Linked DNA regions of Drosophila melanogaster. The protein of the gene in region 1 purifies or fractionates together with the protein of each later gene. This does not show direct contact. Each region holds a gene or a part of one and is shown in the gene's direction. Other genes may lie near its edges. The genes, in order: hrg and snama.

Region 1 (17,177 bases):
CGACAAGGGTCGAAATTGGGCAATGTTTGCTAATGAAGGAGAGTTCGATTTGCTTTTAAATGGTTAATTGGTCTGAGGTTTTCTTGATGAAGGAGGGATTTTCCCTCGTCGGACGGACAGATGCGATGTTGAATACTAAATCGTTCCATTATCAGATTGGTTGCAAATGGGACTGTGTAATTAAAAAGATTCTTCATAAAGTTTACTACTTTTAGGCACATTGTTTATCTTCTGATTATACATTAAATTCATATATGTATTTAAAGGTTTTATTTATTTCATTAAATTTTGTTGTAGTATTAATGCTTGTTGAAATAGGATATTGTGCAGATTATCTACTCATTTATTTCCTGCATTTATGTATACAATACAAATAATTTTGCCCTTCGGCTCTGACAAAATGTCACGTCTTTTGTTTTGTACCAATTTCAATATTTCATTATACACATTCGATTTTGGATGCTGATGAGGTCGTGCTGCTATTAATGCATATTAAATGCAATTTTTTAAGAGGGCCATTCGATGAAGTTATTCGGCTGGCTGCCTTTAATGGCAAATATAAACATGGAAAGCTCGCGAAAAACGCATGCGACAGGAATTTTAAATCATTGAATGCGAAATGACAAAACATTTTCATTTTCATACAAATTGCGGAATTTGGCAGGATGTCTTTCCTATTCCCATCGCCAATCCGATTCCAGCATTGTTTCGCATTTGGGTGGGTGGATGGTGTGATATCGTCAATATAAAGCTGTTCATAAATTTGCGGCGCCTGCAAATATGCAGCGGAAATTGCCAAAGCCACACGACTCTTCAATAACACACACCCATTCTATCCTCGGAAAACTCCAGATGGAGCTGGGATGTTTTTTTTATAGGCAACTCGGGGCAGGGGCATTTTGCTGCGGGGGAGGATTAGCTGGGCGATGTTCATCGCTCGTCGTCCTTGTCAATGCATTTCGTCTTTTGATAAAAGATAATATCAAAAACTCATTTGGCCTGGCCACTTTTAGGAGCAATCACCAAACGTGCACCCGAAAAAAATGGAGCATCTATATTCGATCGAAGTTTTAAAATATAACTTTAAGCCCATGGGTATTGCATGCCAAATACTTTAAGAACTTCTGCCAAGCCTACATTGCTATCATATAAATAAATAAATATAATTACGTACCAGTTTTATTATTCGCTTAATTTTGAATCCTGTAGGAAACTGTACTATGTTTTCTTCGGTATAATGTATTTTTCTCAGTGCATTAACAGAGACCGCTTTGCAGGGGTCCAGATGATTTATTATAGTCTATTTCCATCCTTGCCCGCTGCATGCGTCATCAATTTTTAGAGATAGATTTGCATGGCAATCGCCAAGGGCCATTAGGCGAAGCTTGCAGATACTTTGTACGCATCCGCTGGGTTTTGCTTTTGTTGCAGATGCAACATGCAACCGCAAACATTTAATAAAAACACGAGCTGACCATAAATAATTTGCTCTTTGCCCACATTTATATCCTAAACAACCAAAAATATTGCGCGCAAATATTAATTAAAAGTCACCAGATAGGAAAAGTTTATTCATGGATACACAACCACTGCAACAACCACTTAATAAACGCGCTTAACATAAATTAAAATGTATCCAACTATTTTCCCCGTCCAGGCTGAATACAATTAATTATATGTGGAAAAAAGAATGCAACAATTGAATAGAATAGTTTTGGTTCACTGTTTTTGTTTACTCTCATGTTTGCAGCTGGAATAATGAAATGAAAAATGTGCGGCCGCATGGAAAATTAATTGTAATTGTACATTAAAAGAGCAATAGCAAAATAATTCAGCAAAGATCCAAATTGCTCTGCCAACAAAGCAATTCCATTTGTACAAATTACTAGAAAGAGTAATGGAAAATGTTTAGCTTTACATATGCTCTAAATTACGAATGAGTACACACCAACTTATCACTGATGATTCATTTTGTTTAAAAGTGTCTGTAAATGTTACTCATCCGCCGTGGTGAACTCAAAGGAGCTTGAGTCATGCGTAGTCAACTTATCTATTTGCTATAAACACAAAGAATCCCCCAATTTTGGGAACTACTGGTTTACTGTTGACTTAAGAAGAAGTCCGACAATAAACACAAAATAACTATTCGCTACACGAGGACGACCGTCATTGAAAACTTTATCCAATCTTACAAACTATATAAAAAGTTACATCTTACACCTTAGTACCGACATAATCTGGATATAAAAGAAACATTAATTCTTTTGTTTTGTATCAAAAACTAATTGATTTATTTGCATTTTGTTAAAACTATGCAAATTTGAATATTTGGTTTACAAAATAATACTTTGAGTTCAAGTTGATGGTTTAAACAACCTGGGATTACAACGCACTTAAATCACCACACGTACGAGCGCTTATAAACTGATGGGTTGTTTCTGTGGGATGCAGTATGTGACATTTTCTAAATGTAGTGCGAGATTCGGCTGAAGATGAGCTAGCAAACTAGATGAATAGAGTAATTATTGTTTAACCTAATACAATTGTAGGATGAAGGCCTGACTAGATATAGATACATTTTATATTTATATATATATATATATATATATATATATGTATGTATGTATATATATGTGTATGTATGTATATATATGTATATGTATGTATAAAATGCAATTCGTACTGATCGGTAAGCGTTTGTAGAGTGCAGCCGCGTGCTCTTGGCGAAGCGATTGCATCTTTTGGCTTTGTGCAGTTTACTTTCATGGTTTTTGGCTACAAAAATACTCTTTACATACGGGCACATACACAATGTATAATTAGAGCCCCAAAATGGACCAAGCTACAGCCATGCACTTCGGGTGTGTGATTGTGTATGTATATGTATAAATATAATTTGGTTAATCTCATAGTAAAGCCACTTAGCGGCATCTTTCACCAGCGGTTCGTATAGAACTGATTGATGCCAAGCACATGCTTCTCCTCATGGTACTTTTGAAGGATATGTGTGATGACCGAGGTTGTGTCGTTGTCGCCACGCCACACGCGTATCGCATGTTCGTTTTCCAGGATGCCCAGAAATGCTGTAAACGTATGTGCAATTAGTTTCGATTTCAACTGTTGCTATCTTAATTAGATGGACATACCCAAAAAAGTCTTTGGATTGCTTAGGGTCATCTGGACTTGTGGCATTTCCAGGATCACCTTTAGGATGGGCGAATCGGGCGCCAAGCCTTCACGCAGTTCAATAACGCTACCCGATCGATTGTCGCACAACCATTCGCACGCGGACGCCTTGTTGTTGCCAGTTTTCTTCAGTGCCGCGAGCACTGCCGTCTCCTCGAAGCCCATTTCTGTAAGCGATTCCACAATCTCATCGCTGGGAGGGGAATCCCGGTGGCTGTAGATTCGTACAATCTCAATCAAGGCAGCAGTGTTTTCAATGGTTTCCTTTAAAAGAAAACGGTTGTCATTAAAAAGCGATAATCTAATTCCTACTTACATTATTGGTGACAATCGTGGAGGGTGAGATGGAAGATAGACTGTGCTGCATATTCATGCCCGGCGGTTCCTGTGGATTTTCCTCGTTTTGGTTCTGTATTAGCCACTCCATCGTGGTCGAGTAAATGCCATTGTGTGCTTTTAAGGCAAATGCGGCTAGCTCCCGCTTGAAGCCCATGTCCACGAGGCATTGCAGCGTATCCGCTTGCTGATTTCGGCGATTGATCAAACGTTGCTTTAGCATAGCTATCAGGCGTGGAGCATAAGGGCCAGCTCCTATAACCGCCGCAGAAGCTTGAGCCAAAGAGATCAACACCTTTCGCACATCGTATTGGATCTGGAAACGGAATAGGATTAGAATAATCAAAGGAGTAGCCAAGAATTGTACTCACATTCGACTGCTGAAAGATTTCATTAATATCGATGGTGGGCAGCTGGTTGCAATTGACGGGCACGTATCGGGTGGCGCTCTCCACCAGCTGCTCATTTGGGCCAGGAACCTCACGTATCCGTGAAACAGTCTGCGGCAGAGTATTGCGTCGTGGGGAGAGTATGAAAGTCTCATTGTTGCGAACTTTTAGCTGGGCCAGCGTGTCGCCCTCGTTAAGCTCGCCGCCGAAGTATTCCGCCCGATAGAGACGGTATCGCGGATTAAGATGCCGCACATCTGGGGCAAATAGCTGGATGGAGTCGGGATCGTCGCTCAGTTCCAGAATCACCTCACTCTTCAGCTCGTTTAGGCGCTTATTAACGTCCGTTTTGAAGATAAGAACCCGAGAGCTGGGGCAGATTACCCGCACCAGGATAGATTCACCTGGCCTGCTGGCATCGTCTGCCTCGCCAGAAGTAGAGCTACCTGGGCGATTTGTATGGGCTGATTTCCTAAGTGGATTCCGTTAAGAATGGACTTAATTAAAAGATTAGCATAATACCTAAGCATTACTAACCTGAGAAACAAACTGCGCAGTTTTTGCATAGTTTGTTTTAGTTGGATGGGTAGTGACAAACCAACGGAGAATTTCGAAAGACAAATATTTGTTTCGGGTGAGCACTTTGAAAAACATAAGCATATTCGTTCGGTTTGATAACTTACGCATTAGCCTGCTGTTGGTGAGTGGGCGTGGGCGAGTCCTGTGGCACCACCTTCTGATGCTCAGCACGTTCCTCTCGTCGCTGCAGCTGTAGCTCAAGGTGAATGCGACGTCGGCGAGCGGGCGATGGAGTCCTTAGGACGCAACTGCCCCCGCCCACAAGGGGCCGCGAATTGGAAGCGGATATCCCGCCATCCGTCTGCGTTTCAGATTCCGCCGTGTGGACATTCAACGAGGATCCGCTCAGGCTCTCCGCATCGCTGGCGTCTGTCCGCTGGCTGTGGCTATGACTGCTGCTCCGAGGGCTTTCGTCAGCCGGAGAACCACCGCTGCGCTTGCTACGCGCCAACCACTTGGCCCGTTTCTCGTTGAACTTCTCCCGCATCCAGGGTATCATCTTGGGTCTGCAGCTAGGTGTTTGTTACATTTTGCGGCACTTTTCGATGGCTATTTTGCATATTTCTCGCAAGTAAACAGAATCGATGCGTTATTGCAAAAAAAAAAAAAACGATTTTTATTTTTGTAAAGTCGATAGCAAGCAGCTGTTTGATGGTGCTGCCAGATAGGCCATATCCATGGGGAATACCCCTAATCTTTATAACGGCTATTTTGACATGAAAAACTATTTTAAAATATGTTATGTGGCTGAACTTTATAAATATATCGTGATATGTACATATATGAAGAAAACTATGTTATTCCTTATCGTTAGCCAATAACAATAACAGGAAAACATTGGGGTTAAATACTTTTGTTACTTTACTGCAATAAATAGTAGTTACCCGAATATAGTAATAGAATTAAAGAATTCATTTTCCAAAAACTATTAGTAATACAATCTAAGTGTCTTAATGGTAAATTGGTACCTGGTTAGACCCGTCATATAAAACCCAAACATACTTGAAATCCCAGTTTGAAATGGGTTTTCAAATTTCAGGTAAGAAAATTGGGTTTTGAATTTACCTACACCAAAGGTGCAAAAAGTGACATCTGTCGCAGATTTCAAATAAGCAGATGGCCAGATTAGGTCCCAACTGTAAAAGAACCAATAGTAAATCCTATGCCCTCAGCTTATTTTACTTAAGGCGGTATCGCTTGCAGATGACTCTCACTTTTATTACTTGCGAAACGAATCTGCTTGATAATGAAATAAAATGGTGCTCATACACATTATATTTAAAACCAATTTGCTAAAAATCATTTAAAAATTCTCACTAAAAATGTCCATTCACAATAGGCATACGTAAGCAGAGAGCATGGAAATCTTCCCATCCCTAGCTACTCCCATTGGCTCATCTCTATGCGCCGCAAGAAACGATAACGATTGCCACAAGCATCCAATCGATTGCCACACATTTTAATTATTGCTAGAACGCGCAGGGGCTTAAAAGTTAGTAAAATATGTTTGCCGCCCACTAAACGCCACAGCGTCGATCCCGTCGTGTTATCAGTGTGCCCCCGTCACCTCCGAAACGAAACAAAAGTGGGCGGAAAGCGTTTGTGTTTGCGTTTTGGCAAGTCGACTACTGGCATTTGTATATCGGTGTGTGCGTGTGCGTCACGTAGCATAAAACGCGAGAGTTTCTGTCCGTTAAGCAGCAGTGGAAGGTGGTGGAACGGGAACGGAAAAAGAAACGAAAAAAGAAATGTGAAGAGTGCGGCAAAAAAGCGAGGAAGACGAACGTGCGAAAAGAGTAAAAGCCGGAGCGACAACAGCACATGAATGGGATACACTCTCCTGCCAAAAGTTCTAACAAACAAACATACATACATACATATGCACCACTCACGAATGCAGCGGACAAACAGCACGACACGCCACACACACACACACCTTCAGATATTGTTTGAAGCGGCGGCACGGGAACAACAAAAACAGGCCAAGAATCTGAAGAATAAGCGCAGGTAAGCAAAAACAAGCAGAGAAAACTTTTCCCCTCGTGTGTGTATGTATACGGCGCGTGCCTGTTTGTGTGGGTGTGCGTGAGTGCGTGCGTGAGAGCACCGTTTACCTGTGTGGGAGGATTGTCGTTGGTGAGAGGGGGGTGGTGCAGGCGCATAAATATTCGCTTTCTTTGTTTATGTTTGTCATTGTCACAATTATTCTGCTACAAGCAACAGCTACGGCAACCCACTCCAACCGCTAATTTATTTGCCAATTTCTTTTACGCATTTGTTTATATGCCCGAAAGGCTATCCAGTGAACCAGTGTGCCCAGCTGCTTTGCGAAATTCATTGTTATGTTTTTTGTATATAACGGCGCTATCAGAAATATCTTATCGCACATTACAATTTGCATTTACTCAGCGCGAAAGTAAATTGTAATTGTCAATTAACTGTTTTGCTACACAGGAAGAAAAGGGTAATTTCAATTTAGTAGTAACTGTTGTATATATGTAGCCCTTATCACGTGATGAATGTGTATCCCACAAATATTTAGTTCAAATATTAGGTGATTCACTTTTTAAAAAACCGCGTCGTCATCAGTTTGGAAACGCCGTACAATAATTCTCACTTTAAGAAACCCTAATATTTCGCAATCCTTATGAGATTATCATAGTCCGAACAAACCTATTCAATTTCAATACGATCCGCTCTTCCTTAAGAATTTTAAAACCAAACCTTAGAGTAATGCTTTAGATGTCATACTAAATGTATTATTTTCTTTTCCAGCATTTTATTAAGCGCAGTTTCTTAAACAGAGCCACAAGAGGAGGTGTCGCATATATATGATTCCATTTTGTCTTCTTGGAGAGCAAACTTAAATATAATACCACATACATTTTAAGCCTAGATAGGTGAGTAAATCGAATATAGCGATTCCGAAAGGATCAGATAATAACCGTTTAAAATTTCAATTTTCAGGACATAACTTTAAGCTGAAACGAAGGCAGACAGACAACATGTGGAATTCCGAACCAACACATCGCCAGCACCATCAGCACAATGGAAATTCTACCTCGGGCGGACCGCCCGCCAAGCAATTGGGCATGACCTCGGCTATCAGTCTGGCCGAGCCACGGCCTGAGGATCTCCAGCGCACTGATGAGCTCCGCGGCTCACTGGAGCCGTACAACGTCTTTGAGAGCCAGGACGAGCTAAATCACCGTATGGAGATCCTGGCCAAGCTCAACACACTGGTCAAGCAGTGGGTCAAGGAAATCTCTGTCAGCAAGAACATGCCAGAGTCAGCCGCCGAGAAGCTTGGCGGCAAGATCTACACATTCGGCTCGTATCGATTGGGTGTCCATCACAAGGGTGCCGATATAGATGCCTTATGTGTTGCTCCGCGAAATATTGAGCGCACCGACTACTTTCAGAGCTTCTTTGAGGTGCTCAAGAAGCAGCCAGAGGTAACCGAGTGCCGCTCGGTGGAAGAGGCCTTTGTGCCCGTCATCAAAATGAACTTTGATGGCATCGAAATTGATTTGCTGTTTGCCCGTCTGTCCCTAAAAGAAATTCCTGATGACTTTGATCTACGGGATGATAACTTACTGCGGAATCTGGATCACCGTTCGGTGCGCAGCCTCAACGGCTGTCGTGTGACGGACGAGATCCTGGCCCTGGTGCCCAATATTGAAAATTTCCGCCTGGCACTGCGCACTATCAAATTGTGGGCAAAGAGTACGTGTTATTATATAAAATTCTTATAAATTAAATTCTAATTGTTCTCATTTTCTCTCTTAGAGCACGGAATCTACTCAAATTCATTGGGTTATTTCGGTGGTGTGACCTGGGCCATGTTAGTGGCCAGAACCTGTCAGCTGTATCCCAACGCTGCGGCTGCCACACTGGTGCACAAGTTTTTCTTGGTCTTTTCGCGCTGGAAGTGGCCTAACCCAGTGCTACTCAAGCACCCGGACAACGTTAATCTAAGATTTCAAGTAAGTCATAAAAACTTATCCAAATAGTCCGGTTCTCTAATAGATTTTCCTATTCTAGGTCTGGGATCCGCGTGTCAATGCCTCGGATCGGTATCATCTGATGCCCATTATTACGCCCGCATACCCACAACAGAATTCCACATTTAATGTGTCCGAATCCACCAAGAAGGTCATATTGACCGAGTTCAATCGCGGCATGAACATCACGGATGAAATCATGCTCGGTCGCATTCCGTGGGAGCGTTTGTTTGAGGCACCTAGCTTTTTTTACAGATACCGCCACTTTATCGTGTTGTTAGTCAACTCGCAGACGGCTGACGATCATTTAGAGTGGTGCGGCCTTGTTGAGTCAAAGGTGCGTCTGCTAATTGGCAACTTGGAGCGAAATCCCCATATTGCACTGGCCCATGTCAATCCCAAGTGTTTTGAGTTTAAGAAGGGCCAAAGTGCCAACAACTCACAAAACAACAGTGGAAATGAAGACGATCTGAAGCAGTCGCAGGGAAACCAGTCTGCTGTGACATCGGCACCCTTCTGCTCCATGTGGTTTATAGGCTTGGAATTCGAGCGATCGGAGAACCTTAACGTGGACCTCACCGAGAGCATACAAAACTTTACAGAGCATGTGATGATGCACGGCGTAAGTAAAAAATCGAAAATAATGTTTATTCAGTTGCTTATTACTTTTTTAATCTTGCAGGTTAACATCAAAATGCTTAAGGAAGGCATGACCATTGATGCCCGCCATGTAAAGCGCAAGCAGCTGTCGCTTTATTTAGACTCTGACTTCCTAAAACGTGAGCGCAAGTCAATGGAAAGTCACAATAATTTTAATAACACGCTATTGGCTAACCGCAAACGACTTTCTACGGAACTGGCCCAATCGCAGGATCCACTGCCCCCAGGCCAGCAGCCATCAAGTGGAAATCGCGGTCGGGATAGCGGAGCCAAGATACAAAGACTCAGCGATTCGGTTAGTGGTATAAAAAAGATATCAATTTAGAACGTATTAATTAGTCGAAACTTTGTATGTCTAGCTGACAGAGGAGAACTCGAATGCCTCCAGCGATATGGGGGCAGGGACGCCCACCACGCCCACAACGGCGCAATTAAGTGCGCCAAGCTTTAAGAGCTCTGGCAAGAACGGCTCCGAGATAGACGTTGTAGAGCAGGAACCGACACAGCCTCACAACAATGGCAATGCCAGCAGCAACACAACCACAACGGAGGTGGCATGTTCGTGACAACCGCCAACGCTACATCCGCATCCGCCACATCAGCAGCCACCGCCAGCGCCGCCACAGCCACCAGCTCACCATCATCATCATCAGAAGTTCCGAAAGAACAACAACGCGGCTGCGGCAGCCGCCTCCAACAGCATTTTCAACCAACGCTCGATTCTGCATGCCGCTTCCAGTCTATCGGCTGCTCTAAGCATTACCGGACATAAGCGCAAGCAGCAAACGGCAACATCAACAACCATGATCAGCAGCAGCAACATTGCTCACAGCAACTACACCCAGCATAGCACTCACAACAACAACGGCGGTGGCGGCGGCAGCCACTACAACAAAACGTACTACATTGATGATGATGACGAGGACAACAATCAACCACTTTTGACACCTAACAACCAAACACAACAGCAACAAAAAGCGGTCAGAATAACAGCTACATCGGCGTCACCAGCAACATCGGTTCCGGTAGCTGCGAGTGCCGCACCACCGGCACCGACAATTTCTTGTAAGTTGCCTAAATGTTTTTCCTCGTTATCGTACTCTCTTTTCATTTTCCCCAACTTCCTTTGACACGAGACTGTTTCTGTACTCTTAAGTTGCCTATCTACTTACTTTTACGTATTCTATAACCAGTATTCCGCCAATGTGGAAACAATCTAACAAAAACATACCTCTAATTTTTTAAGTTTTAAAAATTCAATTTACCTAGCCCGAGACTAAGCTCAATAAACGATGATGAAAATAAACTTTTTAAAAAAGAAAAAACACTGAACATTTTTCGTATTTTTATTTTCCAAATTGTTTACAGTGAAATTCGTTTGGTCAAACATTTTAGGCTATAGGAATCTGCAAAACAAAATGCGAGAAACAAACCTTGCTTTGTTCAATATTCAAGAAACAATTTCTAAAAAGAAATAAGTGTAAAACATTTACATTTTATTTTGTTTATATTTCGGGTTTTATTTTTTGTTTGGCTGTCTAGCTTTCGTCAGTTTTAATGAATTCATGGCCCTTAAAAAGCATTTGTTAATGTTTGTATTGGGTTTTATAAGGGACAAGCTAAGGAAACTGTTTTATATAGTAGCACAGATATTTCGGTTCTGTGGGATTTTACTACGATAATAACACACGTCTCATCTGGAAATTAAGTAAAAGATGAAGGTATTGTTAAAAAGATTTTTTGCTGTTAATTTGATTTTAATTGTTTCCACTTTGGTTGTACAATAAACTCAAACTTTTTACCACACCGAAAATTACGAATGTTTTGTTTGCATATTCTTGTTGAAGTATTGTAATTAAAACATATATATAAAACATACATATATTCCAATAACCGTTTTTATCCTTTTTATTGTCTTTGCAGTGTAAAAAGTTATTAAACATACCATTTAAGGATTAGTTATCATAGTTATTATCTCCCTATTGATTTCCTCGGCATTGATGCCTGAACATACATGAAGCCCACAATATTTTATACAAAACGGTGAGACTAATTTTGAATTAATGGCCACTGAAGTTTATAATTCGGTTTTCCATTCATTTCAGGTTTCTATCATACACCTTCTACAAACATGTGTTAAACATTATTCGTTCAACCAATTAACATCGCCCTATCGTCAAATCGAAATTGGCATTCGGAGATCAACAATCGCCGTTAAGACAAGAAAACATCATGACTTGAGGCGATTTTTAGCGGCAGAGAAAGCATTTCTCTAACATTTGTCTTAATAATATTGTTGTACATCTTTTTTACTTCCCCACAGCTGGTTTGAGGAGTGCGTAGAAGAGAGAAGTGTGGAGAGGAGGATGTGGATAAAGATGGATGGATGAATGGATGATTGACAGCAGCGGACTGACAAGATCCTGGAGAAGATTCGCTTTGAAAACTATTTACAAACTAAGAAGATTCTTTTTAATTTTTCATCTTGTTTTCAATATTTGTTTTCTTCTTCTTCTAGTTGTACAACGCTGAAAATTTGAAACAATTATGTTCGTTTTTCTAAGAAATGATATCTGAAAAAAGGTAATAACAAAAACATATAAATGAAATGAAGATATTGATTTAATTTTACCAAATAAACCAGAAAAATGAAAGCGCAAGCTAAAACACCAATGTATCAATGTTTTAATTATTTATTGGAGATGTGTGATGGATAATATATTTGGAATACAAAATATTTGCACTGAAAATGTTGGGAACTATTGGATATAATTAAATTGCTATAGAAAAATGTACTATTTTGCTAATGACGAATAAAGGATGAGTAGTTTGTTCCGAAGAAGCTTAAATTAAGAAAATAAAATATATTTATTTCTGCAAGCATAAATCAAGAAAATTTTTGAATTTACATTTAAATGAAGAGGAATCACAAATATGATAATCATTCCTTGTCCCATCAATTTTCTCGTACGAAGACTGATCATGATCAATGTCTAACTGAAATTTAAACAGGTTGAGTGAGTCCAAGATGTGGTTGCCTTTAGTTAATGGCAAGTTGGTGTAGCGGATACTTGGGGATAAAGTACTCCATGCGCTGGTTGCGTCTAATGGCGCACTCCTGGTACTCCAACCAGTCAGTGTAGGACTCATTGTGGCACTGCTCCGAATCCCCTTTCTCGTAGAGCTGCTGGCGAAGGGAGAAAAAGAAGGGGCGCACTTTCTTCTTTATGCTGTAGACGTGGCGCATCAGCCACTTTTCGACTTTAATCTCATTGTAGATGGTCGATCTGTTCAAGCAGACGGTGGTCAGATTGTCCATTTTTGGATAGTAATTACGGACCGGTTTCGGATCCACAGTTATTCGAGGTATTTCATGCCTAGCTACGGCGAAACGGGTGTCGAAGAAATGTCTACCAAAAGTGACGCCCCAAGCATTGTATTCCTTCTCCCCATATTGGTTTGTAACGAATTGTTGAATACTGACGGTCAGCTCTTTGGGTGGTTCAGTTCCTTTTCCTCCGGCGGCACCTCCTTCAGCCGCTCCTGCCGCCGCTGGAGCTCCATCAGCTGGCGCCGCAGCTTCAGGCGGAGGTGGATCTTGTGGAGAAGCAAATAGTCGAATGCCACTTTTATGGATTTTCTTAGGAGCAGTAGTGCTTCCTCGGGTCACAGTAATTGGTGGCGGATTAGTTTCATTGTAGCCAGCTCTACGGTGATAATCATCCTGTAGTTTCTTTGCGAACACTCTGAAGCCGTCGGATTTCTGCTGCATTTGGTTATTGGAGCTTTGATCCACCTTGAAAATATCGAACGTCGACGGATCTGGTTTTACTTGCCTTGGAGCTCTCTCCACCGGAACATCCTCTGCCAAGACGATTGGAAGTGACTCCAGATCGGTTGTAGCCAATGGCAAGCCAACGACTCCTTGTACCCATAAAATCTAATGGATTATAATATACATAGGTGCTGCAGTTGGTGGCTCGACGCACTCACGATTATCGATGATATTCCCAGGAGGAATCCTTGGAGGATTGCATACCAATGCATAGTGTTCTATGTGATATTTTAGGGGTATATCCCTTGTCTTTAAAGTGTGATTCAACAATACGAATGTAAGAAATAAGCGTTTTCAACAAGGAGCCCATAGTGACTTCAATTACAAAGAAACTTCGATTGCTAACTAGGCCGGGAAAGATCTATACAAATAATAGTTGGTAATGGTAAAAAATTTACAGTCAATATTGAAAATATATATTGTATCATGGAGGTTCGTTATGTTACTGTATACAGTAAAGGAGTTAACTACAATTTAAACAGGTGGTTTGTTCAAGAGCCATTAATATCTCAAGGATTTTAAATACATCGTGTACAGTCGCCACCTATACAGTTTAAGGTAGTGAAATTTTCTTGACTAATCCTGCGTGATACCTAGGATTTCGTGGGACGACACGGGGAACCCGACGGTGATCTGCGATCCCGTGTCCTTTCTGGTCCTAACCTAATTGCAGTTCTGCGAAAATTATACGCGACACAGCTGCGCGTTTTTCCCCGAAACCGAGTAGCATTAATCCGTTTATGGCCACGGATTAAGTTGCAAAATTTTCACTAAGGTCGTCGCGATCCGGGACGCGAATTCGCGGAACAGCCCCGACCCTTTCAGGTAACAACGCCCGCCACCCACAGGTAGGTGTTTATAGGACAAGAAAGTGGGTATAAAAGATCTAGCCGCTGGCAAGGAAGTCATCAGTTACCAACGCATCTTCAAAGTGTAAGGATCCCGCAGTGAGAAGCGAAGTCTTAAAGTTTGGAATAGCAATTATACGACAAACCTTGTTCGGTTTTGCCAATTTCCAAGCCAGCACTGGGTAAAGTTTGTCCTATAATCCCGAAACGACGACCAGCTAATTGTGAGCCACCTAAGGTCCCGATCCTGGGATGCATCTTGTGCAGTTATGTTTCAATCTCACATCACTGGGCAAAGTGTGTCTCAAGATCCTGGCCACATCGTCGCAACTTCAAATCAATTAAATCAAAAAATCAAGAGTAAGTGATATTGGGCACTCCAGTTTTAAAATTGAATGGCGAATGTCGGTATGGTCTCTTTTTCAAAGAAAGGTTTCGATTAAGCGAAGTGACTAGACCGAACACTCGTGCTATAATTTTAAAATATTCAACATGCTCAGTAAAGTTGCGAGTGAAAATTAAAATATTATGGAGCGGTTGCAATTAGTTTCTTTGGTCGTCCAGCCTTAGGTGATTTTTCCGGTCATAAAGCTAGACAACCATTGAAGTTCGTTGTGGCATTAGCAGCACCACGAGTCAAGAAATTATGTTAAGTGATCCCCAAATTCATCGGGCCATTCGCTAAAAGGAACGATCGTTGTGATATGAGTTGTTTCCTAACATATCACAGTGATTTTCCTTTATAACGCATGTTTAAAGTCCACAACTCATCAAGGAAAATGAAAGTCAAAGTTGGCAGCTTACTTAAACTTAATCACAGCCTTTAATGTAGAGGGAATAGTTGCTGTGCTGTAAGTTAATATACCATATCTATATCACAGTGGCTGTTCTTTTTGTACCTAAAGTGCCTAACATCATTATTTAATTTTTTTTTTTTTTGGCACACGAATAACCATGCCGTTTTTAACCCAAGGGAACTTCTGCTGCTGATATATTATTGAAAAACTACTATATCACAGTGGCTGTTCTTTTTGGTTGCACGGCCAATTCCAACGATTTGTCATTTGTGGCACGCATTTGTGTCACCTCAGTGCGAAAATTGAAAATTGTACAAAAAGAAGGGAACGGTTGCTGATGATGTAGTTTGAAACTCTCACAATTTATATCACAGTGGCTGTTCTTTTTTGTTTGGCAATCGATCTACGTTCAGTGGTTTGCCAGGACATGAAACAGAAATATTTTCCGTCAACAGACTTCTGATTGCACAAATTCCTCAAGCTTTGAACATTTGGGAAAAACTGATGAGACGTTGGTTTTCTAGCTTGTGCATCAATTCGTCATTTGTCTGCAGTTTTGTCAATCTTTAATTGCACTTTACAATTCATTGCTTTTTGTTCAATCATTTTTGGGTGGTGGTGCAACTAGAAGATATTTTATTTCTAGTGAATAAATAAAAACTGTATCTAGGTGTGTTGAATTTATAAGTTTAATTCTAAGATTTGATTTTATCTTCATTTGCAAAGTCAAATTCTAGTGGAGTTGATTTCTACATCTATTTTCTTCACTCTACTCTAAGCCAAGTGCGTATTTGTCAGTATAAACTTCAATTTAAAGAACCGTCTTAAGTTTGCACATGCATTTTCAATAGATGCTGAGATGTGTCATGGTAATGTGGGAGTACCACGTGCAAAACTTTCTATCCGGTAACAGCCTGCTGCTCAACCCTTTCCAGGTGAAAGAGCACCTGACTCGCATTTGGAATTTAACGCGTGTGCGGAATGGCCAAAAGTTGGCCAAAACCAACTCTTGGCCCGAGGCGTGGCCAGTTTGCTGCTGGCCAAATGCAAAACAAGCAAACGGCGCAATCCCATTCTGCATTGACATGGCCGCCATGCCATAATGTTCGTTATGGCTGCAAATGGCCAGCAGCCATTGTTGCATTGTGGCCAAGGACGTTGCTGTCTGTGCCACCGTTCCTGTTTCGACTTATGTGGGTTGCTAAATCCTCCAGCTCGACCGGAAGTGGGAATACACGGAGGAGGATAGAGGAAACCGAGTGGCGGAAATGCGATTAAAATGGTCCGTATAGTCACTGCAGGCATCCGCTGTGAGAAAAACAAAGAATAATGTTCGTAGAATTAGTGCGCTAAACAAAGATTAAACTTGTCTATAGTTTCCTACAGTGTTATTGTAAATGTATTGCCCCAATTGAATTCAAAATAAAACCCCAATAAAAACGCGTTCATTTCAATTGTAATATATACGCTTTTTATTAGTTAAAATAATATATATTAAAACAATAAATATGGGTATTTAGCTCTATTCTATCTTTGCATTCAGCCGATACAAGTAATTTTCCACGCGTATCTTTTGGCGCAGCACTTTTCGCGAATCCCGTTCAATTGTGGCCGTAGTTTGGTTGTGATCGTGGAAGAATCCGCAGTATCTGGCCGGTACGAATTGCTTGATTTTCTGCTGCCGACTATACCGCTCCGTCACCTGAAGATTGCACTTCTTGATCGCCGCCATCTCGACATGCATGCATTGTCGGCACATGTCCGCGTCATTGCTAAAGTTGTGAAAATAGTCACCCACTGGCTTTTCGCCACATGTCGAGCATTTGACAATGTTTTGGGGACTGCAAAATACGGCCACTGCTGGCCAGATGATGCGCTTGGATCCGAAAGCTGTCTCCACGTCCCAGTCCGGATATTTGAGGTGGTGCGTATAGGTTGACGGCCTGGAAAATAAAATTGAAAAACGCCCCCAAATGAAAAAGCATTCGATTGCGTTCATTCTTTAAAACCGCAGCAGGATTCTTACCCGGGTGTCAACCATTTTTGTTCACGCACAGTTTGCTTGTTGAAAGTGAAGTAGTATTGAGTTCCTGGAAAATCGGTAGCGTAGGATCCAATAGGGGGATATCCCAGTTCTCGAAAGATTGGTAATCGTGGCATCTTGTTGGCCAAGGCAGAAAATCCTGCCTTTGACGGGTACTGTAATAATACATTATTTTATCTACTGTGCTTACACTTATTTCTAATGAATTATATTTGAAATAAGTTTATTTTTAAAACAGTCCTACCTTAAATCCCATTGGTCTGGGAACATCATACGTATTAGGAGCGACCGACGGAATATTTTTGGTGTAGCTGTCCCTACAGAAGTCTCCGCTCGAGTCCCGATGGATTTTCCTGAGAAATCCGACTTTCGGCCATACTGGAGGATTGACCACATACTCGAAACCTGCAAAAGGGACATATTGCGATATTAGTGACTTGAATTTTGAAATCGAAAAATCTAGAACCTAGATCATTGCAACCGGCGACAACGAGCCTAG
Region 2 (11,341 bases), 4.4 Mb from region 1:
GAGGAGCACACCAAGGAGTACTCCGAAGACGATGGCCCGCTGACGGAGAACATTTTGGAGGCCACCGCCAGCACCGATGATAAGACCTTAACAGGCAGCGTTACGACCTTGAAGCCCATCTATCTGGGCGAGGAGACCGAGACCCCCAGCCTGGAGACCATAACGGAGTCCTTTTCCATAACGCACACCAAGCTGAAGACCCAGATCCTCCCAGTTGTGTACGCAAAAAGGAACGAGACCATCCAAGTTACCCTAGTTCAGACGTACGATTACACCAGTCTCATCACTGTAACACAGACCATTTCCCCCTTGAGCGACGACTTCAATCCCTCAAAGAACTTCAAGGACTTCGAAGGAAGTTTGGACGAGGCTGGGTCGGAAATCAACCTGGACCTCGAGTTCGGAGATGAAGATAATACGGGCAAATTCGACGCAAAGATTAAACCAAAACTCAAAGTTGAGGCCAAGAGTAATGTAACTAGCCCGATAAACCCTCTGCTCCCGGAATCGATTAGCTTCCCGGAAACGCTGCAAAACAGCTTGATAACTTCCACGCGACCCGTGATCAAGCTCGAGACCATCTGGGAGTCCCATGTGGTGCCGCTTGTCAGAGGCACCGAGACCATCATGAGAACCCTCTCCAAGTCCGTGGGTGTGGTGGAGAAGACGGAATACGTCACTGATGTCGCCACGATTTCCATGCCAACGCCATCCTCGCAGTATCCCTTCTCGATCAACCCATTCAATCCCTTCAACCCACTCTTGCCCATTGCCCCGCAACAGTTCATCACATCCACCGAGGTCCAGCAGTCCATGGTAACGGAAACGAGCTCCAAGGTTCTAAAGCTGACCTTTGGCGCGAGGACCGCCTACACCACCATCTTCTCAACCTCTGTCGTTCCCACAGCTGTCACTAGATTAATAACCGCCACCATTCCCGGCCAGCCAGGCCAATCCTTCCCCAACTACTTTCCGCCTCCTTACAATCCATTCGCCTATGTTGGCTAGTTTTTAGGAGCATCTACGCAAGCGAGAGTGTCTAACCCCATTACTTCTTTGTAATTAGGAATCCTGTATTATATTTAAGAACACGTGCAAATATCGAAAAGGCGGTGATACAAAAAGCAGTAGATTTTATTATATTGTATGTGCACTTTGTCGCAAAAGTTGTTAATGTAAATACTCGAGTTAAGACTAAATTAGGATTGCATCGAATTTTTTGGATCTAAGATAAGCAAAATATGGTTGTAGTTCGGTTTAACTGATGTTAATAAATTTTTGAACCCTTTTATTCCCTAAATTAGTTTTTCATTCCGTATTTACTGCAGCTTAAGAGTTATTTGATTCTTCAAATGATCGATACTAATAGTTATACACTGTGTTCCATTCCACCGTTTCACGCGGAAGAGAACCGACAGAAATGCAGAATTGCTGCCTTTGCAAACAATATATAGAAATCGATTCCCAGCTATGCACATTTACCAAATGCTTTCCGTTACAACACTTATCAACATTATCTAATAAAGTTCAATACTTTCACTTTGTAATATAAATTACACTCCAACATCGATATCGATATCTGTGTCTCTATCGATACCCGCGTGTGCGTTCGCATTTCACATCTCTGGGGCTTTGGCGTCACGTTCGCATCTCTAGTAAATTGGAAAAAAATAAAATCGTCGGAGTTTTTATGTGCTTGCAGAGTAGTGTAAGTAATTGCTATTTTTGTGCCAGCTGCTTGCCGGTAGTAAACAACGCGCGTGAACTGTGATGCCTTGCAATCCTCAGCGCAATTCAAGTGCGGTTTAAGTCCGAACGACCCAAGAAACCCGAAGTGTACGTACATATGTATGTTTTCGCGTGTGTATTTTTATGCACATGCAATTCTATGCTGCTGCCATGCAAAGGTGCAAAAAATGCGAAATGCAAATATCGTTCACAGAATGCCCATTGATCTGACCGGATTTTAGGTGGCACATACGCATATGCATATAGCATGTTCCCGGAATTGTGCAACTTCGCATACATACATATGTAATGTCTTATGTTGGCATAATTATCCGCTGTTCAAGGGAAGTGCATGGTGCAAATCGGGAATCTATATTCGGCATACTTTGGTAAAGGGCCAATGAGATCGTATTTATTAGAAAATTGCCCATCCGCCGTAATATATAGCACAGCACCAATGATTAAGTTCGCACTTCCATCTTATCCCGAAGCAATCAAGAATGATTTCTGAACCTGCATGGCTTGCTACTGCTTAGTAGCTTATTTTAGTGATCTCTTAAGATTTGATGCAATATCATGTTTCCCACTAATCGACTATATGCATAGTTTCAGTTTTAGACTGTCCACTTAAACGTGTTAATCATGTTTTTAGGATTGCAGCGCATTGTCACACACATTATCTAAACAGCTTTATCTGTTTGTTTATTAAGATATTTATGAAGCATATTATGTATTCCCCCTGCTTTGACTCTGATAACGCAAGTGCCGTGGACACTATAAGATAATCGTATTTAATCTCTTCTTCGCAGATTTCTTTCATATGCAACTATGTCGGTACACTATAAATTTAAGAGTACACTCAACTTTGATACAATTACTTTTGATGGACTTCACATTTCTGTCGGGGACTTAAAAAGGGAGATTGTGCAGCAGAAGCGACTGGGCAAAATCATCGACTTTGATCTCCAAATAACAAATGCGCAGAGTAAAGAAGGTATGTCCACCGCAATTTAGAATTTTTCCCCTGCTACATGGCTTCCTTCCCTTTTCCAGAATACAAGGACGATGGGTTCCTTATTCCCAAAAACACAACGCTGATCATATCGCGCATCCCCATCGCCCATCCCACAAAAAAGGGCTGGGAGCCACCAGCAGCAGAAAATGCCTTTTCGGCGGCGCCTGCCAAGCAGGACAACTTCAACATGGACCTGTCCAAAATGCAAGGCACGGAGGAGGACAAAATCCAGGCCATGATGATGCAGAGCACAGTCGACTATGATCCTAAGACGTATGTGGTTTTAAATTGTTACAAAACCACCTATCTAATGTATTTTCTGTTTAGGTACCATCGTATTAAAGGACAATCGCAAGTGGGAGAAGTTCCCGCATCCTACCGATGCAACAAATGCAAGAAAAGCGGACACTGGATCAAAAACTGTCCCTTTGTGGGGGGAAAGGACCAGCAAGAGGTCAAACGGAATACTGGTATTCCGCGGTCTTTCCGCGACAAGCCAGATGCGGCTGAGAACGAATCAGCCGATTTTGTGCTGCCTGCTGTACAAAACCAAGAGATACCGGAGGATCTGATATGCGGCATATGCCGAGATATATTCGTCGATGCTGTCATGATACCCTGCTGCGGAAGTTCCTTTTGTGACGACTGTGTGCGAACCTCCTTATTGGAGTCAGAGGATAGTGAGTGCCCCGATTGCAAGGAGAAGAACTGTTCGCCTGGCTCCCTGATACCTAATCGGTTCTTGAGGAATTCGGTGAACGCCTTTAAAAATGAGACTGGGTATAACAAAAGCGCGGCTAAGCCAGGTAAGTTCATTATACTCGTTTGCATCGCTTAATGCAAATGAATCGAATTTCTCTTTTTAGCTGCAGTAAAAAATGAGGAAAAACCTCCTGTTGAAAAAGAAGTGGAGAAAAAGCCAGTCGCGGAGGTGGAACCCGAAGAGACTGAGGTGAAACCTGAAAAGCAAAAAGAATCCGAAACCAATGGCAGTAATCCGCCAAAATCGGAATCTCCAGAGCCTCCCGCAACCACAGAACCATCACAGAAGGAGAAAGATAAATATGATTCAGACTACGAGGATAACATTACCATAAAAATGCCCCAGCCTGCAGCTGATTCTACAACAGTGCCCAGCAAAGTGAGACATACATATTTGACACATCTGCAACATAGATACATAATTATTGCCTTAATGTTTCAGAGATCCCCCAGTTATTCCCACAGAAGTGAATCCTCTCATCGACGGGACAGGTCGGATTATGTTTCCGATCACGATCACAAGCACCAACGTCCATCAAAATCGGAGTCTGTTAACAAGGATCGCAGTCTCCTGCCCTTGCCCATTGGCACCCTGCCTAGCTACCAGGGCCACATGATGGCCGAATCAGAAGAAGCTCGTCGATCGAGTGCCTATAAGCCCCCTTATATGCAAATGCAGCGGGGCCCACCTCCTATGCACATGATGAGTCACCACATGCCAGCCTACAACAACGGGTTTAACAACATGGGACAGAGGCCTCCCCTCAGGTAGGTTTCTTTTCCACCCGTCCGGATCCCGCTACCATGTGGATCGAGTCAAGTGTCGAGGCCACTGGAACTCCGAGGTGTTGACGAGTCCATACGCAGCCGGTCCTGCCTGATCTCAATATTTTTAAGTTCCAACAGAGACTATACACACACACTAGTTAAGAGTAATTTAAGCTCTGGGCTCTGCGCCTTTATGCTTTGTTGAATATTGGTTATTCCTAATTAAAACAGTATTGCTTACAATCAACGTTAAGCTTTTTGAATTGTAATTAACTTCTAAAATTTCAGCTATGTGCCGTATCAAAACCAATCCGTACACCCAATGCGTGCGCCGTACGGATCTGCAGGCGGAGGTATGAATATGAATATGTCACAACCATTTCAGTCCCCAAATTTAGCCTCGATATACCAAGGGGTGGCAGCGAAGGTCGGTTCCGGGTGAGTATCTTTAGGGCGTTGTAGAAGCGTGGGATGACAAGTAATCCCAATGTTTTGCAGTCCCATTGACGATCCGTTGGAGGCCTTCAATCGCATCATGAAGGAGAAGGAGCGGAAGAAGGTGGACCGCTTTCGAAGCTCTGACCGCCACAGGTCAAGGTCCCCGGATAGACAAAGGCACCGCTTTAAGTCTCCCATGTACGAAAAGGACAACTCCAGGGATAATCTCAAGGACAAAAGACCGCGATCCCGGGAAAGGAAGCGAGAACATAGCTACGAACGGCATATACGCCACCCTCGTTCTAGTCGCCAGCCGAATGATGGCTCTAAGTCCCCAGGTGGCAGAATCAAAAGGTAGTTTTACCACCAGCCCTTTTCCATGTGCTTACATTCATGGTCTACTCTCTGCTTTTTAGATCTGGACATCGTCGCTCTGCATCTCCAAAGCCGGGCTACAAGAGTGATTACAGAGACAAGCCGTACAACAAGCCTAGTGCTCCCAAAACGGAGGCAGTTGAGCCTCCTCCCCCCGGATTCGAGCCGTTGCAGCTGACGGATGAAGACGGCTACAGGAACAAGCACCCGACCAGTTCGGAAGCATCACAAAGCAGCAAGGGTGATAGCAGCAAGAAGAGAGGGGAAAACAGGCACGAAGAGGCGCCACGAAAGAGGCACAGGTCTCGCAGCATTAGCAAGGAACCGAAGCCGAATGACAGCAACTACAGGAGCCTGACTCCACCAGCAAAGATCACCACACCGAAAATGACTGCTGCCCAGTTGAGGCAACGCGAAAGTTCACCGAAGACGCCGGAAAAGAGTCACGACGATTATCTGACCGCGAAGGCCAGAATTATGGCCTCCCAGCCCGTCATCAACGACACGGAAATGGAGACCAATGTGGGCAAGGAGAACAAGGCCAAGAGTCCGTTGTCAAAAGATCGCAAGAAGAAGAAGAAGGACAAGGACAAGGCTGAGCGCAAGAAAAACAAGAAGGACAAGCGCGCTAAGAAGGAGAAAGGGGATCGCCAGAAGAAGAGCTCCTCAGTTAATCGATCTGACTCGGATATTAACAACAGCTCACTAATGAACGAGTCAAATTATAAAGTATTGTCTCCCAGGGCTCAAAGTCCCAGCATTGAGATCAATGCGGCTCAACTTTCCCCTACTCACAACGCTACTGAAAACGTTAATCCGAAGAGTCATTCCATCCTTACTGTGGGTGCTGCTAGCGACGATAATCTTGGCCCAAGAAGCAAACTCAGCGAGGCTAATTCTGTCAATCTATCCAAATGGGAAATCGACGAGAATATCTTAGGTTTGGAGGATTCCTCCAAAAAAGCTGCCGGGGCCTCCGACGATCCGTCGGAAATAACTTCAGACGTCCTGCGAAAGGCTGAGAACGCAATATTTGCAAAGGCTATTAATGCCATCAGGCCTATGGAGTTTCAAGTTATTATCAATTCCAAGGACAACAGCAAGGACCGCTCCGTAGTTCGAAGTGACAAGGATCGCTCCTCCTCACCCAGGCGTAACAACAGCAGCAGGTCGGTAAAGGATAGGCTGGGCACCAAGATTTCCAATGATAGAAGCCGTTCGCGAGACAAGTCGAAGGGCAGGCGCCGGGCCGCAAGGAGCTCCGACGACGATGCGAACCGCGGCAGGTCGGATCGTCATGGCAGCCGGAAGAGGGACAACAGATCCCGCGACAGGGCGGCGCCTTCAGAGAAGAGGCAGGAGCGTTCGTACAAGCGAAGCTCGCCGGAGGACGACAAGCTGAGGCGCCAGAACAAGGAACAGTCCGAATCCAAGCACGGAAAGCATGATCAAAACAATAGCGACGACTCGGATCGGAGGGCGGCCAAAAACACCAAGTCCAGCGACAGCCGAGTGGTCTCCTCTGTAACAGCCGTGGTTGCTCCTCCCAAACCCTGTCGTCCAGACAACCCGTTCCGCAAGTTCGTCGACACCAGTTCGTCGAGCAGCTTAGTTGTAAAATATGATAACACGATACAGAAGGAGGGCGCGTCCTCGGACAACGGCATGGAGCACAGGAAGCAGAGGGATAAGAAGCTGAAGAAACATTCAAAATATTCGTCAACCGATTCGTTGAAGAGCGAGAAGCGCAAGGATCCGAAGAGCAAAAAGAAGAGCAAGATTTTGAAGAAGAAGAAAAAATCAAAGAAGTAGGTTACGGTAGGCTACGAGATAAGAATGATATAAATATTGAAGATTAATGTGTACAAATCAAAGATTTTTAATGTATGTATTTATCATGCAACTATAAGTATACAAATAAAACAGAACTACTCAAGGATTGCTTGCTTGTGATCGATCTAACTTTCGATTGCCCGCCGAGTTAGAAGACGGTGGATTGATATTCGAGAAATTAAATATGTTTATTACAAACAGTTATCTTAAAAAATCGATTAAATTACACGTGTAGAGATTGACTGAAGTTAATCATTATTGCTTAAGCCGTCCATGAAGGACGATGCCATTGGACTGGGCGTTCTGGAGATAATGTTGTCATTGCCATAGTCATCGGAGTTTGCATCCACTAAAAGCACAGAATAATAATATATATATGCATTAGGAAAACTCCGACTAGTCTGTGCTGTGCATTAAATGCTGCTTGCCTTGTTCTAGAAAATTGGATTTTCTACTCTGGGGTATGCAACTCAGCGAATGTATTATTGGACTGCAGGCTTGATCGGCTGTTTCGAGCGTGGTTGGTAAGTCTAGGAGTCGTTGATTTTGAATGCCATCCCCTGGCCCCATGTGAGAAATGTGGTTGAAATTAGTCGGTGCTGATATCATCTTTGATCTACGATCACTACAAATAAAAAGCGAATAATGAGGACTCGAATCGATTGCGCCAATAGGTTAACTGAAGCCCAACCTTTTGATGGTCTTGTTTATCTCCCTGATAGAGAATCTCCGCTTTATGCTCGGAAGTCCCTTTCGATTTCCGTCACGGTATTGCAAAAGGCCCTCTGCAAATAAAGCATGTGGTTTAATGGCCCTGATAAACAGACGTGAATGATTTAGCTTACTTGTGTGAATATTGGATAGGTAAACAATCAGCGGAGTGTCATTGACTGAGGACAGCACCACGTTTCCCAAATTGTTTAAGGGAAGTGATTGCTTCAATCCAATCGACTGCACCCATTCGGCAGTCTGCGTATTGAATATATCCAAATGTGTATCCGAAAACACCAGCAAGTGACCATCACAAAAGGCTGGAATGAGTCCACAAAAGAGTTATACATCATGAGTCATAACCGCATCTCGTTTTTTACTCACTTATATACGTAGGGAAGGCTGGATACATAATTTCCCTATCCCGAGACTTTCGCCCTTGCAGGTCTACGTATATGGCCAGAGTCTGGAACACCAGTAAGTACTCCCCGAAATTGCCGCCGCTGGGGCACAGAATTTCAATGACCCTGACCGCATCCACTCCGGAGTAGTTCAAAAATGCACATAACTGGTTCTCCGGATGAACCAAAGCTAATGAAAGATACGAAGACGTTATAAAGACTCTCAGAAAACGTCATCTATTACTACTCACACATTGCAGTTGCTTCTCCGCGCAGAAAGTATGCGGTAAATCCGCTTTGGTGAGCCACAACCAATCGCATGTCGGACAGAATCTGCAGGTGCTGCGCCATGTAGCCAATTGTGAATTCGCAAGTCTTCTGGTGTCTTGTGCGCGTTCTATTGATTTCGTAAACTACGATTTGTGTGTGGTTATTCGGCCGCTTTAGAGCGATGATAAATGAGTAAACGATATTGGGGAAGCGGCGGATTATTCCAGTGCAAGCAGATATGCAGTTCTTCGATTCGACCACCTTGATCCACTCGACATCACTAGCCTCTAATGCCCTTATAGGTAATAAACGCAAGTTGCGCTGCTTTCCGCAGAGAATGACGAGGATCTGCTCCTCTTCAATGTACCATAGCTGAAGAATCTTCTTGCTTTCGCCAATACGAGCGATCTCTGGAAATGTTTGTTAGCATTTAGTTGTGCCCTCTTCTACTTGCAAGTTTTCATAAAATGTGATTGCTTACCGTACTGGTCCAGATTAATGTAGAACAGGCCGTCTTCGGTGCCCAAGAGTATTTGATTTGGATATATGATGACAGAACACAATGCGTTTCTTATTAAAGACAGGGTATTGTCCAGAATCTCGTTAACTTTAAATATAGCAGTATTTGGTAAGCTGTTTCGTTTCAATATTCGATGTAGTTCTCCCAGGGCAATGACCCACTTGGACTTCTCCGACTCGTTGTCGGCGAGCATAAGGGTGTTCAGCGAAAGACCGCCATCGATAAGGGCGGTTTTTATCTGGAATGAGGAAGATGCACACATTTAGTCTCAGGAGATGCTGCGATGGCAGTCTGTTTACCTTGAAAATACATGGCACATCTTTCTTGGCGGCATGGATGACATCGCTTTCGCGCACACTACCCACCGAGAACTCGGGATCCCTCATATCCAGCACTTGGGACACGCTCACGCTGGGCAATGCACACCGATCCGGCGAAATGTCATAGAGGAACAACTTAAAGTCGCAAACAACTACGAACTGCCGAATCCATCCTCGCTTAATCACCCCCGACTTGGGGACCTTTACGTAGCCCTCGTATGCCGTGCCGATTCCCCTGGTGGGATCGATTCCCAGCGGCCGTTTCGTCTGATCCATGGGCACGGGGCACGTGGTGGGCACCTTTTGGCAGCAGATCGTGTGACAGGCGAATCCGCAGATCTCGCACACAACGCCTTGTCGTGTGAGCCCCACCATCAGCGATGTGCAGTGATTGCATTTTGTGGGACTACTGAATGTGCGCACCAGGAACTGATGGATCGCCGTGTTGCCGGGCACTTTCTTCTGAGATTCCTTGACCAGCTGGTCACTCTCCTCGCGGGACAAATCGCTGACCGAGGCTTCTTTCATGGACGAATGATCCTTGTTGTTCTTACCCGCATACTTTGGCTCGTAGTTGAAGAGCATGCCCGAATTGCCGGACTGGAAGAAGTTGGGAGTGAAATTGTCGCCGGATTCGTTGCCAAAGCTCTCGGCAGAATCTATAATCTCGGAGTTCTTTGACATGTCGCGGAAGAAGGCGCTGCTTAGCCCATGATGCGTTGATTTGTTGAGGAACGACTCGGAGTATTCCAAGCCTCCCTTCTGCAAGTCCCGCAGTTCGGTTTCCTTCTTCTGGAAATCGTGCAGTATGGAGTCGTACCGCTTTTTGTAGTCTCGAACCTCTTTCTGTGTGGATATGAGGTCCGATCTGGTTTGACTCAGCTCATCCGATATCATGTTCTTGGCCTGAATCTCCCTTTGCAGCGCGCTCTGCAGGTTGAGCAGCTCCATCTTGTCCAGCTTCTGAGAGCGCCGGTTCCTCCAGTTCTTATTGTCCACACCGTTGTTGTTGAAGGTACCCACATGCTTCAGATACTCCAACTCCTCCGTCATTTTGGTGGCCAAGGCCTGCAAGTAGCCTCGCGCGTCTTTCTCATCGGACACCCATTGAATAATCTCCGCCATTTGCCGCTCCCACAAGGTGATGGCCTCCCGTTTCATTCGCAACTCCTTGAAGATCTCGTCGTCCTCCGCTTGAAGTTCTTTAAGACTCTTTGACTTGAGATTCACCTCGGAGCTTAATCTCTGCTTTTCCTCGAACCATGAGCTTTTCTCCAAATCATGCTGCTTCTTCAATTCCAAAAGCGTTTCGGCGGAATCGGTAATCGACTCCATTTGAGTGTACTTCAGCCTTTCCTGTGTTTGTTGCAACTCCTTGGTGAGTGCCAAATTCGCGTTCTCTAGCTCGCTGAACTGCTCGCGCAGTGCTTCCAACTCCATATTGTGGCGCGTCTGCTGATGACTTAGCTTTTCCGAGAACTGGAGTTCAAGGCGTTCGATCTCGTATGACGACATCTCGGAGGAAATGCTGAGTGGCATAGTTGTCTCCACACTCGAGGAGCCCTTCCGCAGCTCCATCTGCAGCTGCCTGCAGCAGTCCTCCGCATGCTCCCGCAGCTTCTTTTCTTTGGCAGCCTCGATGACAGCATCCTCAATGTGAAGCTCCAATTCCCTTCGCGTTTTGTCCGACTTTCTCAGTTCGTTCCGCAGGCTGTCGTTCTTCTGCATGGCACCATCAAGCTCCTCCTCCTTGTCCCTGACTTGGCGGGAGAGCTTCTGCTTCTGATTTCGCAGCTCCGAGAGTTTCTCAGTGACCTCCGAGTACTCCATCATGGCGATGTTTCGTTGAGAGATGGCGTCCTGAAGTTCAGAGTCTTGAGTTTTGAGCCGTTCGAAAACCTCGTTGTGTTGCTTTGACAACTCTGCCTTTTCCTGCTTCAAAGCCGCAAGCTGATCGTTTAGTGCCTTCAGCTGAACGGAGTCCACCGGTGTCTCCGAGTTGTTGCTCGGCAGAATGGCCAACTGGGGACTGCTTATGGTGTCCAAGGTATCATCTCCGAAGCCCGAGCTCTGGTTCTTCTTCGAGTCCAAGGTGGAGCTGCTGGTCAGCGAGAAGGTAAACCCGATGAAGGGCAAGTGAAATCCAGAGAAGGCAGGATTGGCTGACGGCGGAATGGAGTCCGTTAACCGGACGTCATTG

The links.
Region 2: the proteins of hrg (region 1) and snama purify together in Drosophila melanogaster (affinity purification with mass spectrometry, with the first as the bait; one large-scale study listed by BioGRID). This does not show direct contact.

What each region holds. Positions count from the first base shown.
Region 1 is NT_033778.4:19,658,567-19,675,743, reverse strand, and holds hrg (hiiragi), read left to right. Parts: upstream 1-5,911; 5' UTR 5,912-6,497; exon of another isoform or gene 6,498-6,626; intron 6,627-6,675; exon of another isoform or gene 6,676-6,954; intron 6,955-7,265; 5' UTR 7,266-7,390; intron 7,391-7,457; 5' UTR 7,458-7,495; coding exon 7,496-8,216; intron 8,217-8,279; coding exon 8,280-8,476; intron 8,477-8,534; coding exon 8,535-9,116; intron 9,117-9,176; coding exon 9,177-9,449; intron 9,450-9,513; coding exon 9,514-9,720; coding exon of another isoform or gene 9,721-10,219; exon of another isoform or gene 10,220-10,484; intron 10,485-11,077; coding exon of another isoform or gene 11,078-11,082; 3' UTR 11,083-11,197; intron 11,198-11,259; 3' UTR 11,260-11,825; downstream 11,826-17,177. Other genes in the region: Kpc2 (Kip1 ubiquitination-promoting complex subunit 2), read right to left, coding at 2,935-3,083, 3,147-3,450, 3,503-3,838, 3,894-4,383, 4,449-4,460, 4,595-4,989; CG11018 (uncharacterized protein), read right to left, coding at 12,195-13,094, 13,148-13,201; CG15125 (uncharacterized protein), read right to left, coding at 16,157-16,577, 16,661-16,833, 16,923-17,083, 17,145-17,177.
Region 2 is NT_033778.4:24,084,995-24,096,335, forward strand, and holds snama (something that sticks like glue), read left to right. Parts: upstream 1-1,609; 5' UTR 1,610-1,708; exon of another isoform or gene 1,709-1,836; intron 1,837-2,537; 5' UTR 2,538-2,556; coding exon 2,557-2,722; intron 2,723-2,781; coding exon 2,782-3,016; intron 3,017-3,070; coding exon 3,071-3,549; intron 3,550-3,609; coding exon 3,610-3,884; intron 3,885-3,947; coding exon 3,948-4,273; coding exon of another isoform or gene 4,274-4,277; exon of another isoform or gene 4,278-4,518; intron 4,519-4,561; coding exon 4,562-4,711; intron 4,712-4,771; coding exon 4,772-5,065; intron 5,066-5,127; coding exon 5,128-6,898; 3' UTR 6,899-7,020; downstream 7,021-11,341. Other genes in the region: CG16786 (uncharacterized protein), read left to right, coding at 1-1,008; gek (genghis khan), read right to left, coding at 7,168-7,268, 7,348-7,544, 7,611-7,704, 7,765-7,950, 8,015-8,221, 8,283-8,711, 8,783-9,059, 9,121-11,341.